Pelodiscus sinensis: one gene and its partner. The protein of the gene in region 1 binds, or shares a complex with, the protein of each later gene. Links are inferred from orthologs where the notes say so. Each region holds a gene or a part of one and is shown on either strand. Other genes may lie near its edges. The genes, in order: KAT14 and DR1.

Evidence for each region.
Region 2: KAT14 (region 1) and DR1 share a complex: the UniProt entries of both Homo sapiens proteins name them as parts of the ADA2A-containing complex. The link is inferred for Pelodiscus sinensis from reciprocal best matches to the Homo sapiens genes KAT14 and DR1.

The regions. Positions count from the first base shown.
Region 1 is NC_134713.1:193,861,689-193,869,410, reverse strand, and holds the start of KAT14 (cysteine-rich protein 2-binding protein), read right to left. Parts: upstream 3,200-7,722; coding exon 2,944-3,199; intron 1-2,943. Other genes in the region: protein PET117 homolog, mitochondrial, read right to left, coding at 3,513-3,662. UniProt on the Homo sapiens protein: Component of the ATAC complex, a complex with histone acetyltransferase activity on histones H3 and H4. May function as a scaffold for the ATAC complex to promote ATAC complex stability. Has also weak histone acetyltransferase activity toward histone H4.
Region 2 is NC_134719.1:34,923,466-34,931,106, forward strand, and holds the start of DR1 (protein Dr1), read left to right. Parts: upstream 1-4,404; 5' UTR 4,405-4,923; coding exon 4,924-5,143; intron 5,144-7,641. UniProt on the Homo sapiens protein: The association of the DR1/DRAP1 heterodimer with TBP results in a functional repression of both activated and basal transcription of class II genes.

The DNA of each region.
Region 1 (7,722 bases):
TTGGAATGTAGCAAGAGCAGGGCTCTTGATGCACTTCAAAAGCAGAAGCACCACGGGGCCAGCGGGGGACTCAAGCAGTCTCTGGCTGGCCCTGTGCTCCCTGCTCTGGAAATGTACAAGAGCCCAGGGGGTTCTATTAAATTCCTGCAAATTCCATCGACTATTCAATTTGTTGATTAATCTAAATTTGACATCCCTAGTTGCAGGACCTGAGAGTCCTGGTGGAGGGCCAGCACTAAGGATCCCTGTGGGGCAAGCAGGGCAGTGGGCTGCCTGCAGGTAGCTGATGGGGGGGGGGCTGCCCAAAGCGTGGTAGTGGGGCTGCCCAACAGAGTTGGGAGACCCGGCAGGTGACTGCCCAGTGGGGCTGGGAGCCCGGCGCACACATGGCTGCTCAATCACACAACACGCAGGGCTGCTCACGGAGCCCTGGTGTGGCGCACGTGGCTGCCCGGACCCCAGCCCAGCGCTAGGTGGCCCGGTGGAGCCCCAGCAGCAATGGTTGCCCAGCAAGTTGGCAGGGCAGCGGGGCCAGCAGAAGGTGGGGAGCTAGGAGGCTAGCGGCCAGGCCAGGGGGCCAGTGGCAGGGGTCCAAAATTGACCTCCTTAGGTCTGGCAAAATCTCTCATCTGGGACCGGTCAGGTCCCAAAGGTGCTGGACCAGGGAAGTCCAACCTGAACTGGCTTTATATTGTTCTGTGAATACTAATCTTAAATTCAGGATACCATGGAACCATTCTTATATACAGAAGACTGAAATCTATTTACACAGCCCACTGAAATGGCAAACCAATCAGGAAAATAATAATAGTTCTTATGTAGCACCTTTCCTTACAAAGGAACTGGCATTATCCCTGTTTTACAGATTGGGAAACGTAGGGTATGTCTACACTACAGCGCTAATTCGAACTAACTTAGTTTGAATTAGTTAATTCAGACTAAAAAACTAGTTTGAATTAGCGTTTTGCTAATTCGAACTAGCATGTCCACATTAAGTGGACCCTGAACCGGGGTTAAGGATGGCCGGAAGCAGTGCCGGCAGGGCATCAGATGAGGACTTAGAGCGTGGAGCTGCTGCCTCAGGCTAGCCAAGGGCTGTGCTTAAAGGGACCCGACCCCCACCCCGGACAGACAGTTCTCAGGGGTACCCCGCTTGCAAAGCAGTCCTGTCTTGGAGTGCCCTGAGTGCCCACACCGGGCACATCACAGCACTCGGCCATCAGACCGGCTGCACTTGCCGCAGGCTGCCATCTGAGGAGAGGGGGCAATTGGGGGCCTGCAGGAGAGCTTCCACCCACAGAAGCCCACAGAGCCAGCCCAGTCCTCCCCATTGGGGGCTCGTACCCCATTCCTCCCTCACCTCCTTCCACTTACCCTTCCCTAGCCCCCCTTCCTGATGTACAAAATAAAGAAAACGTGTGGTCAAAAATAGAATCTCTCTTTATTGAACAAAACTCGGGGAGATTGGGAAAAGGAGGTGGGAGAGGGGAAGAGAGAGGGTGGGAGAGGGGAGGGCAACTACAATGATGAGAGGTTTGGAAGAGGTCCCATATGAAGAGAGGCTAAAGAGACTGGGACTTTTCAGCTTAGAAAAGAGGAGACTGAGGGGGGGATAGGATAGAGGTCTATAAAAGCATGAGTGGGGTGGAGAGGGTGCATCAAGAAAAGTTCTTCATTAGTTCCCATAATAGAAGGACTAGAGGACACCAAAGGAAAGGAATGGGTAGCAGGCTTCAAACTAGTAACAGAAAGTTGTTCTTCACAAAGCAAAGAGTCAACCTGTGGAACTCCTTGCTGCAGGAGGCTGTGAAGGCTAGAACTAGAACAGAGTTTAAAGAGAAGTGAGATCAAGTCATGGAGGTTGGGTCGATGGAGTGGTATTAGCCAAGGGGTAGGAGTGGTGTCCCTGCCCAAAGTTTGTGGAAGGCTGGAGATGGATGGCACGAGACAAATGGCTTGGTCACTGTCTTCGGTCCATCCCCTCCAGGGTCCCTAGGGTTGGCCGCTGTCGGCAGACAGGCTACTGGGCTAGATGGACCTTTGGTCTGACCCAGGACGGCCATTGTAAGCTCAGGACTCAGGGTCGGGGGGTCTCAGTGGACCACCTTGATTTTCATGCACACCTGCTCCTGGGTGGCCAGGCTGGCAGCTCTCCTGCCCTAGACGGCCACTTTCCTGTGCCTAGTGCGGAGGTCGTGGACGAGTTCCACGATATCCGCACTAGACCAGGCGGGTGCCCGCCTCTTGCGGTCCCGGGCAAGCTCCCGGGAGCCGCCAGCCTGGTCCCGGGAAGAGGCGGAGGGCTGGGGGGCATCGGGTGGCTGGCTCGAGCCGTGCCAGGTGCAGGGTCTGCTAGCTGGGTGCTGGCAGGCTTGTACCTGGCACGGGCACCGTAGCCAGCCCGTGCCCCTTTAAGGGGTCCGGGGCCGGGAGGGGGGCAGACAAGTTTCCCTGGTGGTGCCCAGAGTGGCCACCAGGGAAAGCTGGGGAGGGCTAGCCTCCCACTAGTTTGAATTAAGGGGCTACACACCCCTTAATTCGAACTAGTAAGTTCGAACTAGGCTTAGTCCTCGTAGAATGAGGTTTACCTAGTTCGAACTAAGCGCTCCGCTAGTTCGAATTAAGTTCGAACTAGCGGAGCGCTAGTGTAGCGCCTATCAAAGTTAATTCGAACTAACGTCCGTTAGTTCGAATTAACTTTGTAGTGTAGACATACCCTGAGAGATTGAAAGGGGAACTGACAGACACAGGCACAGCAGACCAGTGGCAGAGCTGGGAATATAATCTAGGTCTCCTGATCCCTAGTCTGGTGCTCTATCTACTACACATCACTGCCTCCCATACGTTCAGGAAAATAATATGATTTTTTTTCTCTGAGGAAAAGAACAAATAAACCCACAAAACGCAAGAGATGGAGATAACAGAGGAAATCTTGACTCTTACTTGCTGGTATCCACTTCTGACACTTTTCACAGTAATAGGACATCTCCTCCATCCAGGATGCATCCCCCTCATCACTGTTCAAGGAGTCCCCACTCTGATCGTGGGATAAATCCACTGAAGCCTGATCCTCAGACTCAACAATCAGGAGAGTCTCTCCTTCCACCTCACCCTCCTCCAGCCCTTCTGAAGTTGATGTCCTTGTAGCTTCGTCATCGTGCCGACTCATCAGTCCACTCATGTGAACGTTATTATCCATCCCTTCTTGGCAAGCAGAGGAAGGGATTTTTTTACATTACATGGGGCTCTCCCTCCAGCATTTAAAATACCACCCATATAAGGTGAGCCAGCCAGGTATGAAGCCTTCTACACTATATTTCTGCTCACATGAAAATATTCAAGTTAGAGAATAATTCTGCGTACACACTTCTTAATGTATATAATTTCCTAGACTTGATGACTAGGTAGCTAAAGGTGATGGAAGTAGCTTCCGTTTCCTGAAACACCTAGGAACACTCAAACACAAATCCCTGCTGTCCTTCAGTCCCAACTCTAAAACTTCATGTTTAAGTCTAGGATTGTTGGGACTCTTTTTCCATTAACATCTTGTGTCTCTCTGCTTCAAGTTGCTTGGTCAGAGTAATCTGTTCTTGTAAAAGGCGAATATTTTCCAGTTTACGGCTTTGTCTCTCAAGGTCTCTGACAACTCCTTCGTGCAGCCTCTGAAAATACAAGAGACATGGTTCATTATAGTCGATTGCATGGAACTAACACCCCTTTGCATTCCAACCTCTGTCACAGCACTGCCAAATATATAACTGTTACAAACTTTCAATTCTCTGTTCAAGACACAAGCTACTTTTCGAGTTTAAAATGACTAGAACGGAGCTCTGATAGGTGGATGTTGATAACTACTGGTAACATGCTAGGAAAACTATATTTGTTGGTTCAGCTACATAATCTTCCTATAATGATAAAGTGTTAGACAACTGTAAATATTGTATATTGATCATTTCTACAGTATTACGGAGAGACAGCAATATATCTGTCGAAGATTATGACTTCTCCCCCATCCTTATCAGAATTCAACTAATCTGCCTGAAATATCTCAACTTGTGATCCTCTGCTTGAGCAGAATTAACAGACATTAACATAGACAACATGGAGACTACATTAAAAAAATGAATTAAATGTAAAAGGATTATAACTGAAAGAGAAAAAGTTTTTCCACTTGGTTTATTTTGTGCACTTGACAGCATTTTGTTCTTAATACCTTGAATCCATGCAGAGATCCAAGAATTCAGTGGAGATTCCAATGCATAGGGATCCACTAACGCAGAACTCACTGTGCTTTATATATAGTTAATTTAGCTGTTTCTTCTGTATAGGCAGACCTTGTTCCTGAAACTGGATCCCCACAAGTAGGTCCAACTACTGAATCTGGGCTTTTGTCAATTTCCCTTTTTGTTTATGGGTATTTCGTGTGGGTAATTTGTACAAACAATAGAGGAAAGAAAGGCATATTGAAAACAAGAAAATACATCTGCAAAACTGCAAACATTGATAAAGGAACTATGGGGTAGGAGTGATACTTGAAACTGCTTCTAATTCCTTTGAGATTGACTAGATTTCAAGATGAAGGTGGCACCTTTAACAGAAGATATTAAAATATGACATTTGATTAGGGAAACACATGAAATAGTTGCATAGAAACCAATACTAGAAGAAGCACAGGGTTCTGTCCACATGGATCCAACTGCAGGACCAGGCCCATATTTTGTTACTACCTATGGTCTTGATCCTTTCAAAACTTATAGGTCTGCCTAAATAACTAATTGATATGTGTAAAGCATAAATCTTTGCATGATCAGGATTCATATGTATTCATAGGCACTACAACTGCTGACTGGATGAATGCTGGAAAAAATAATTTATGAATAAATTAATAGCCAAAAAGGTAAATACTTTATTTGATTAATCTGATATTATATAGGCAGGCTTAATAGATCTGAAAATGCATTTGCAAATCATTCATTTTAAAAATTGACCTCAAAAAATAAAATAAACTTTCTAATAGGAAGAGGCATCGCTTCTCACCCAGAAACCAAGTACGTACGCATTTTGAGGGAAATAATGTGTCCCATCTGAATCATGAAGAAAAAATATTTTGTGCAAGAAATATTTTAATCTTGTTTTCAAAAATTATGGAGGCAGACAAAATACATTTCACCCAAAAATGTCAAAATCTCTCTGGAAATTAATTTTATGGGAACAGTTCTTTCCTATCAGTTTCAGTCAATTTAATTCCGATTATAAAATTACTACTGTCCTGATAAACTATTACTTTAGTAGTATAATGAAATGTACTACCATACTATATATACAGAAAAAATGTAGAGATTTTTATGAATGCAGGTTTCAAGCATGTCTCTTGATCCAATAAAATACACTCTTATAACCTACCAGGCTATGCTTTCATTCACTTTAGAGCTATAGTTATATATGTATTTTGCAAAAAATCTTTATGTTTTGTCCCAAATGACAGAGGACATCCTTCAGTACCATCAAAATACATACAAGCAGACTTAGGTGTGGTGTGGTCTATACACATAAGTTGCAACAGTTTGATTTTTTTATATCAGTTTAGGTTCAGTGGTTTTCAAACTATAGGGCGGGACCCTATAGTGGGTCACAATCCCATTTTAATGGGCTTGCCAGGGTTGGCTTAGGTTTGCTGAAGTCTGGAGCTGAAGCCAAAACCAAGTACCACTGCCCTGGCAGAGAGATCAGGTTATAGACCTCCTACCTGGAGCTGAAGCCCTCAGGCTTCAGCTTTGGTCCCATTTGGAGCAGTGGGGTTTGGAAGGACTCAGGCTTTGGTTCCCCCCTCCTGGAATTGTGTAGAAATGCTTGTTGTCAGAAGGGGGTCATGATGCAATGAAGAATAGTGATAGAAATGTAGAGAACCCCGATTTCGTTAAACTGGCACAAGCTTAAATTCACTTGGCTTCTCTCAAATTAGTTCATGAAGGCCAAAAGTTTCTTAAATTGACATAAGCCCGATGTGAACTAATTTAAAAGTGTCCATATTAGAGGTCTGCATTAATTTAACTAAATTCAATTTTTAAACAATTTAGATAAACTGGTGCACTTTTGAGCACAGACAAAGCAATAGTTAACACTGATTATCAGATATCAGAGGGGTAGCTGTGTTAGTCTGGATCTGTAAAAGCAACAAGGAGTCCAGCGGCACCTTACAGACTAACAGATGTATTGGAGCATAAGCTTTCGTGGGCAAAGACCCACTTCGTCAGATGCATGTAGTGGAAATTTCCAGAGGCAGGTATAAATATGCAGGCCAGAATAAGGCTAGAGGTAACGAGGTTATTTCAGTCAGGAAGTGCGAGGCCCACTTCTAGTAGCTGATATGGAGGAGTGAACACCAAGAGAGGAGAAACTGCTTTTGTACTTGGTTAGCCATTCACAGTCTTTGTTTAATCCTGAACCGATGGTGTCAAATTTGCAGATGAACTGTAGCTCAGCGGTTTCTCTTTGAAGTCTGGTCTTGAAGTTTTTTTGCTGCAGGATGGCTACCTTTAAATCTGTTACTGTGTGTCCAGGGAGATTGAAGTGTTCTCCTACAGGTTTTTGTATATTGCCATTCCTAATATCTAATCCCACGCATACATGGAACACAAGCTGTCAGGAACAGTATCCCTGATGATGCCACAGCACAGCTGGTGGCTGAACTCCGTGACTTTATCCTCACACACAACTATTTCAGATTCGGTGACAATATATACCTCCAAACCAGTGGCACCATGATGGACACCCGCATGGCCCCACAATATGCCAACATTTTTATGGCTGACCTGGAACAACGCTTCCTCAGCTCTCGTCCACTAATGCCCCTTCTCTACCTATGCTACATTGATGACATCTTCATCATCTGGACCCATGGGAAGGAGACTCTGGAAGAATTCCACCATGCTTTCAACATCTTCCACCCCACCATCAACCTCAGCCTGGACCAGTCTACACAAGAGATCCACTTCCTGGACACCACAGTGCACATAAGTGACCGTCACATAAACACCACCCTATACCGAAAACCTACTAACCGCTATGCCTACCTTCATGCCTCCAGCTTCCATCCCAGACACACCACACAATCCATTGTCTACAGCCAAGCACTAAGGTACAACCGCATCTGCTCCAACCCCTCAGACAGAGACCAATACCTACAAGATCTCCACCAAGCATTCTTGAAACTACGATACTCACACAAGGAATTGAGGAAACAGATAAACAGAGCCAGCCATGTACCCAGAAGCCTCCTACTACAAGACAAGCCCAAGAAAGAAACTAACAGAACACTACTGGCCATCACCTACAGTCTTCAGCTAAAATCTCTACAACGCATCATCAGTGATCTATAACCCATCCTGGACAATGATCCCTCACTTTCACAGGCCTTGGGAGGCAAGTCAGTCCTCGCAAATTCTCACCAGCAACTATACACTGCACCACAGTAACTCTAACTCAGGAACCAATCCATGCAACAAACCTCAGTGCCAACTCTGCCCTCATATCTATACCAGTGACACCATCACAGGACCTAACCAGATCAGCCACACCATCACTGGTTCATTCACCTGCACATCTACCAATATAATATACGCTGTCATGTACGAGCAATGCCCCTCTGCTATATACATCGGCCAAACTGGACAGTCCCTACGTAAAAGAATAAATGGACACAAATCAGATATTAAGAATGGC
Region 2 (7,641 bases), on another chromosome or scaffold:
ATGCTATATCCATATGCTTTCCCTCTCTCAAAAAATTTCTAATAGGTTGGTGAAGCACAATTTCCCTTAAAAAAGCCTTACTGACTCTTCCCCAGCTATGTCTGATAAATGATATAGTTCCAACTAATTTGCCTAGTTGGGAAGTAGGCTTATTTCCTAGAAACAGGCATCATGCTAGCTACCCTATATTCATATGGTATACAAGCTAATTTAAAGTCTCAGAGGGTTAGCTGTTTTAGTCTGTAACGACAAAAAAATTAGACAAATTCTGTTTTAGCATCTTAGAGACTAACCAAAAAATATAGATAGTATCATGAGCTTTCAAAGAAGTGGGTTGTGCCCACAACAGCTCATTATACTATCTATATTTTTTGTTAGTCTCTAAGGGTGTCTACACTACAGCATTATTTCGAATTATCTTAATTCAAAATAGTTAATTCGAATTAAGCTAATTCGAATTAACGCATCTACACACAAAATCTATTTTGAAATAGCATTTTGCTATTTCGAAATAGCACGTCCACAGTGAGTGGACCGTGAACCGAAGTTAAGGCTAGCTGGAACCAGTGCCGGCAGGGCATCAGGTTAGGACTTAGTGCATGGGGCTGCTGCCTGAGGCTAACTAAGCTCTGAACTTAAAGGGACCCTACCCCAGACAGACAATTCTCAGAGTTCCCCGCTTGCTTGTCTACCTCGATGAGGGACAGCAAAGCAGACCTGTCTTGGCGTACGTCTAGACTACAGGCTTTTGTCGACAGAAGTTTTGTCGACAGATACTGTCGACAAAACTTCTGTCGACAAAGAGCATCTACACTACATTCAGTTCTGTCGACAAAGCAAGCTGCTTTGTCAACATGGTAGTGTGGACGCAAAGGACAGTTTACATGCAGTAACACCTTCTGTCGACAGAAACTCTATCGACAAAAGGCATTATGCTTCGTAAAATGAGGTTTACCAGTCGACAAAACTTCGACGTTATGTCGACAGAACTCAGCGATAGTGTAGATGCAGGTATAGTTTTGTCGACAAAAGTCCACTTCTGTCGATGAAAGCCTGTAGTCTAGACGTACCCCAATTGGAGTGCCCTGAGTGCCCATACTCAGGACATCACAGCACTTGGCCACATGGAGCCAGAGCTGCCCCTGGGTATGCTGGTGCATCTCGTGGGGTTGTTGCCATCAGCCCGGCTGCACTTGCTGCATGCTGTTAGGATCCAGGAGGCCCTGCGGGAGAACGTCCACCTCAAGGAGCCTTCAGAGCCACCCTGGTCCTCCCCACCGGGGGCTCATGTCCCGTTCCTCCCTCATATCCTTCCACTTACCCCTCCCTACCCTCCCTTCCTGATGTAAAATAAAACACATATGTTCAAAAATAGAAACTGGGTTTACTGAACAAAACGAGGGGTGGGGGAGATGAACCTCTGGGGAGACCGGGAAAAGGTGGGAGAGGGGAAGAAAGGGGAGGGGGAAACATGGGAGGAAAGAGCTGTAAGGGGGAAGGAAGGGGAAGAAGGGGGAGAGGAAGCTCAGGGCCCAGGGTTGGGGGTCTCGCTGCACCAACTTGAGTTTCATACAAACCTGCTCCTGGGTTGACATGTGGCCAGGCTGGCAGCTATCCTACCATAGACAGCCTCATTCCTCCATTTAGTGTGGAGATCATGGGTTGGGGGCATCCTCCTCACCTCCCCAAACCTGAATAAGGTCCATGATCTCCACTCTGGACCAGGAAGGGGCCCGCCTCCTCCAGCCCTTCAGGCTCCTGGGAGCTGGCGGACTGCTCTTGGGGAGTGGTGGAGGGCTGGCTGCCAGTGGCTTGCTAGCTCATGTTTTGGGGTCACTGAGTCAGTGGCCCCGGTGGCTACTGCTGGCTCTGAGCTGGCAGGCTTGGAGCTGGCACAGGCACTGTGGCCAGGGTCTACCCCTTTAATGGCTCCGGGGTTGGGGGGAGAGGAGAGTAAGTTTTCCTGGTTGTGCCCAGAGTGGCCATCAGGGCTCCCTGGAAAAGGCTGGAAGTCCTCTATTTCGAATTAAGTGTCTACACAGCACTTAATTCGAAATAGCTATTTTGAATTTGGCATTACTCCTTGTAGAATGAGGTTTACCAAATTCGAATTAAGCGCTCCGCTATTTCGAAATAATTTCAAAATAGCGGTTTGCATGTAAACGGCTGTTATTTCGAATTAATTTTGCAGTGTAGACATACCCTAAGGTGCTACTGGATCATTTGTTGTTTAAGCTAATTTAAGTGATAGTTTGCAAACCACAATTAGTAGTTCTATAATGTCATGTATGAGTTCTTTTGGAATTCTTGAGTGAATACTATTTGGTCTTAATACCTTGTTACTGTTTAATGAATTTCAATATGAAACCATTTTTCTGATTTGTCTTCCAAAGAATGGCTTGGATGTCTGACTGCCCTATATCCTCTGTAGTGAAGACTGATGCAAAGAATTCATTTAGCTTTTCTGCAAAAACCTTATTTTGAGTGCTCCATTAGCAACTCAGTTATCCAGTGGTGTCACTGCTTGGCAGGCTTCCTTCTTCTGATGTACTTACAAGAAACACTGTTAGTTTTTGTGTGTTTAACTAACTGCTCTTCAGATTCTTTCTTGGCTTGCTCAATTATAGTTTTACACTTGACTTACCAGAGTTCCTATTTTCCTCAATGGGATTGGACTTTTAATTTTTAAAGGTTGTCTTTGGAATCTCTTTTCCTCTGCTCTTTGACTGTGGTTGAATTTTTTTTGGTCTGGGATATGCATTTAATCTGAGCCACTATTATGGTGTTTTTAATAGCTTCCATACAGTGCAGGCATTTTGCCCTTGTGACTGTTCCTTTTTATTTCCATTTAACTGTTTCCTCATTTTTGTGTAGTTCCCCTTTTTGAAGTTAAATGCTACGGTGGTGAGCTCCTTTAGCATTTTTCCCCCTACAACCATGTTAATTTAATTACATTAATGCTATTATCTAGGGATTCCGTTATAGTCACCTCTTGATCCAGCCCCTGTATTTCAATTAAAACAAAATCAAGAATTTCTTCTCCCCTTGTCAGTTCCAGGAAAAGCTGCTCTGAGTTGTTCAAATAGTCTATGCTAAATATTGTTGTACTGATGTCCACACAATTACTTCTAACACTTGGCAAGGATATAGGGGGAAATTATATCATGTATGTTCACTCTAGGAAGGCTTTTTTTTTTTTTTAAATTATGGTGTTTACCTAACTTATGTTTAGCATCAGATCTGCAGTTAAAGACTTGTCATCTAGGAAGTTATTCCACAATAGCCTGTCCTAACTAACTGTTTCTAAGCAATACATCAGACATTATAGGATGGAAAAACTCCCTCCTGTGTGCTGACACAGCAGACCTAAACTAAAGAATAGCTAATGGTATCACATTGGGATTAAAAGCAGAACTCCAATCAAACCACCAATATAAATTTACACTGTAGCAGATGATCCAAACTTAAATGTGCTGCTTACAATTTCCCTGGGTGTTGCTTCAAACTACAGCCTTTGAAACTACTAATCTAGACATTAAAAAGACTGTTATTCTGAAGAGGATTTAATTTATTTTGAAAGACAGTTTCATAAGTCAGGAAAAATAACAGCCAAATTAAACTGTTAATGATAAAGTACCAGCAACAGCAAACTCTGCTTGAGAGTATCGACCACCTACACTTGGCTCACAGTCTGATCTCAACACTGAAGTGCAATGAAAAATGATCAGACCGTTTCCTCCATGGGGATGACCCTGCCGCTAGGGAAGCAGGGGACCCCGAATTGGGGCACTGTTAATAAGTAAAGATGCGCCTATGTAGCCCCCACACCACCTGGATCCGCTTCCTTGTCCAACCTAGCGACACTTAGAGCACGTACAGATAAAATAATTAATTCCCCCACAGCCTGGGCTGATCGCCACCTGGCTTTCAGCCCAGGCTGCAGAGCCGGGCGGGGGAAGCGAAGGCTCTGCCCGCCACGCTGCAGCCACAGCGGGTGAAGGCGGGCTGGGTGAGCACGTGCGCGCTCGCGTGGAAGGGGTAACTGGGACGGTACAATCCCACTGCAGACAAGGCGGCGGGACCGCCTGCTCCCCCAGGGCCTTCCTCGCGGCCCGGGCCCCGCACCGACACCCCGCGTCAGCCGGAGTAACGCGGCTACGTGCGCGGCCCAGGGCAGGCTCCGCGACGGGGGCCGCGCGCTCAGCAGCGCCACGAGGCTACTGCACAGGCGGAACTGGGGCCGCCCCCTTCGGATTCCGAAGCCCGTCGGGGCAGGTGGCGCGCGGAGCGAAGAGGGTCCTCAGCGTGGCGACCTGTTTCCGCTACCCGGGGCATGGGGTCCCGGAAGCGGAAGTGTCAGAGAACGGTTTCCGGCGGAAGCGGCCCTGCTCGTTGGTTTTGCTCCGCGTTGGCTCGTTTCCCCCTCCCGGCCGGCCGCGGTTCTGGGCGAGCGGCCGCCGCTGGGTGAGCGCAGAGCCGAGCCGAGCCGGGCGCGGGCTTTCCGGGCGGCTTCCTTCGGCTCCTTTTCACGCGGCGGCGGCGGCCAGCATGGCCCGGCTACCCGGCGGCGGCGCGTGAAGGATGTGGCGGGGGCTGTAGCCGAGGGAGCCCTGAACTCCGGGCAGCGCCTCCCGCGGCTGCCGCCGAGCGCCTGGCACCGGCTCTGGGGCGCTGGCAGCCGGCCCCCGCTCTCCCGCCTTCGGGCGCGAATCCGACCCCTTCTCTTCTCCCCGGCGTCCGGTCCCCTCAGCTCCCGTCCTCGGACTCACGGCACCTGCTCGTGTCCCCCCCGGGCACTTGCCCCGACAGCACCGCCCCGGGGCTCCCTGAGCGGCGGGTCCCCGCCGGGAGAGCGCGTGCCCTGCTTTGCATCTGAAAAGTGAGTTCAAAGGGGCTCGGAGAGTGAGTGTGAACTGAAATACAATGGCCTCGTCCTCGGGAAACGACGACGACCTCACCATCCCTAGAGCTGCTATTAACAAGATGATCAAAGAGACTCTCCCCAACGTCCGGGTGGCTAATGATGCCCGGGAGCTGGTGGTGAACTGCTGCACTGAATTCATCCACCTCATCTCCTCGGAGGCCAATGAGATCTGTAACAAGTCTGAGAAGAAAACCATTTCCCCAGAGCACGTCATACAAGGTAAGATCCCTGGAGGACGCGGGAGGAGAGAAGGCAGTCATCTGGTAGATGACAGACCATTTAGTTTAATGTTGTAGAATTTAGGATTATAGCGAGCTAGGGTGGGTAAGATAACTTGTAATGTGGCCAACAACTGTTGGTGAGAAAGTCAAGCTTTCACATAACACAGAGCCCTCCCTCAGGTCTATGATCCTAACGTTGATTTTTCTAAAAGTACTGCAGAAGTCATTTTTAAAAAAACATGAGTAAGATTATTTATGGCATTTCTTACTAGTTTGCATTGCAAATGGGAAGGCTACTTTTGTGGTGAAGGAGGCAGGAGTTGTCAGTTCCTGCCCATGTTCTCTTGTGCTACTGCGGGTGAGTCACTTAAGTGCTTCAGTTTCCATACCTGTGAAAAGAGACTTTTGCAGCATGGTTGTGCAGATTACTTCCCTGTTTCTTACAGAAACAAAATACTAAGTACCTGTAAACCAGAGGTTGATGCTGTATATAAGGTTAGGGATGGGCGGTGAGTTCCATTCTCTTGGCACTAAAAAGCCTATCACCTAGGAAGATACTGGGATTCCTATCTGCTCCTGCTCCTGGTCTTGTTTTGTGGCTTCATCTTTTGCATCAGTTTCTGATGTAATAGGTGTGTACATTTTAAAATATGCCATTGCACCCTCTTCTGGTTGTTGTGTCTTACCTTCTGTGGCTGTTGGATGGAAAAGCTTTCTCTCTCTTTCTCCCGGATCTGAGCCTCCTGATTTTGGAGAAGACCAGAATAGCATATACTCACTAGCTTTCATTTTTGGGTGTTTGTTCACTATGAATAGAATCAGTGCTTAATACTGCTGCTCACAGCTTTCCCAAGTAGTAACAAGAGTTAAACTAATGACTTGTAAGCCACATGGGCTGTTCCTGTCAAGAATCATTTTCATTTTATTCAGATACTTGAGAGAGCTACCACAGTTCTTCACAGTTTCATTGCTGCCCACAAACTTGTGAATGGAGATGGTAGTGAAAGTGACCAGAGTTTTAGTTTTACTCAGCTGCTTGGCAGGTCCCTGAACAGTGGCATAAGCAGTAGAATATCAGTGTCAGGAAAACAATTAACTATTAGTCTGTATCACATGGAAAGTTGTTTTTGTAATTATCACTAAATGTTCAGTTAATTAGATTCTGCAGACTGTGATGGGGTATGTTCACTCCACTCAGCAGAAAAGAAGAAGTTTCCTATTTGCAATATGTAAGTGGATTTTTGAAGTTCTGATTATGATTAGGGGGTGTAAAATCCTGTGTAATTGGCTAACTGGTTTAATGTGAAGTTTACTTCACATTTTACTAGCTAACCAATTAAGTCCCTCCTCTTCCCCCTTCCCCTATGGCTGAGATTAAGTGGCCTGCTGCCTGCCATTATACCACCCCCCCAGCCAACCGCAGACCAGGGTTGGCCCAGATGATTGGAGCATCCTCTGTCCGCAGTGGGCCCCATAGGGATGAAGGAGCCCATTACCCACAGCAGGTGGGGCACTGCTCCAGCCTGGAGCACTGGAACCTGTTAACCTTTCACATCCCTAGTTTTGATGACATAAGCAGCAGTATAAGAAAATATGAACCATATCTAAACTTTTGTTTTAGTTAATATTTTAAGAAAATGATGTATTGCAATAAAATTGATTTTTTAAAAAAACTTTCAAGCTCAGAATTTAAAAAGTAAAACCCAGACTGTGATTGCAAATGAAATGTGCTGGTTAAATAGATAAAGATGCCACCAAAAGTATCAGCACATGTTCTTAGGTTAAAGAAAAGTAGAACAAAACTATATTGGAAACAGTGTTAGTGGGAAGAAATAATTGAGTGATGAAAGTCTGTTGCCTATTACAAATGGTCCTTAGTACAGATTTCACTCTAACATCATCTGATTAGTCCATTTGTTTGCATGTAATGGATTATTTTTCTAATAATGATGTTCAGAAAATGTGTATGTGATTGAAAGCCGAAAAGAAATGATTATATCTGCACTGTGTTGTCTCCTAAAAGGTTTTTTTCAGGTTATATATATTATACACACTAACTGCTAATGTGTTCAAAGTCATAATTTTTTATATAAAGTTCTTCTTGAATTCCAGGTTGTCAGTGTTAATCAGATTCTCTTAAATGAACATTTATGTTTTTCCATTTATATGGTCAAATGTGGTAAGGAGGATGTTCCTTTCATAGTATTTTATATTCTGCTTGTACCTTCATTGTTATCCTTATTATCCTTCACAAATACATATGGTACTAATTCCTGTCAGATTAACCCTCATGCTTTGAGGAATCATGTCACTATTTTAAAGAAAATTATTTAAGATTTATATGGTGTATGCGAGTTAAATATGTTCTATCCCATTTTATATACTAAAACTTATTTTGCTTTTTTTGAGTAGTATCTTTGAGTTGTCTACAATGACTATTAAAAGCTTTTTGAAATTCAAATTTCAGTCACTTCTTTGCCTACTATATTATCAACA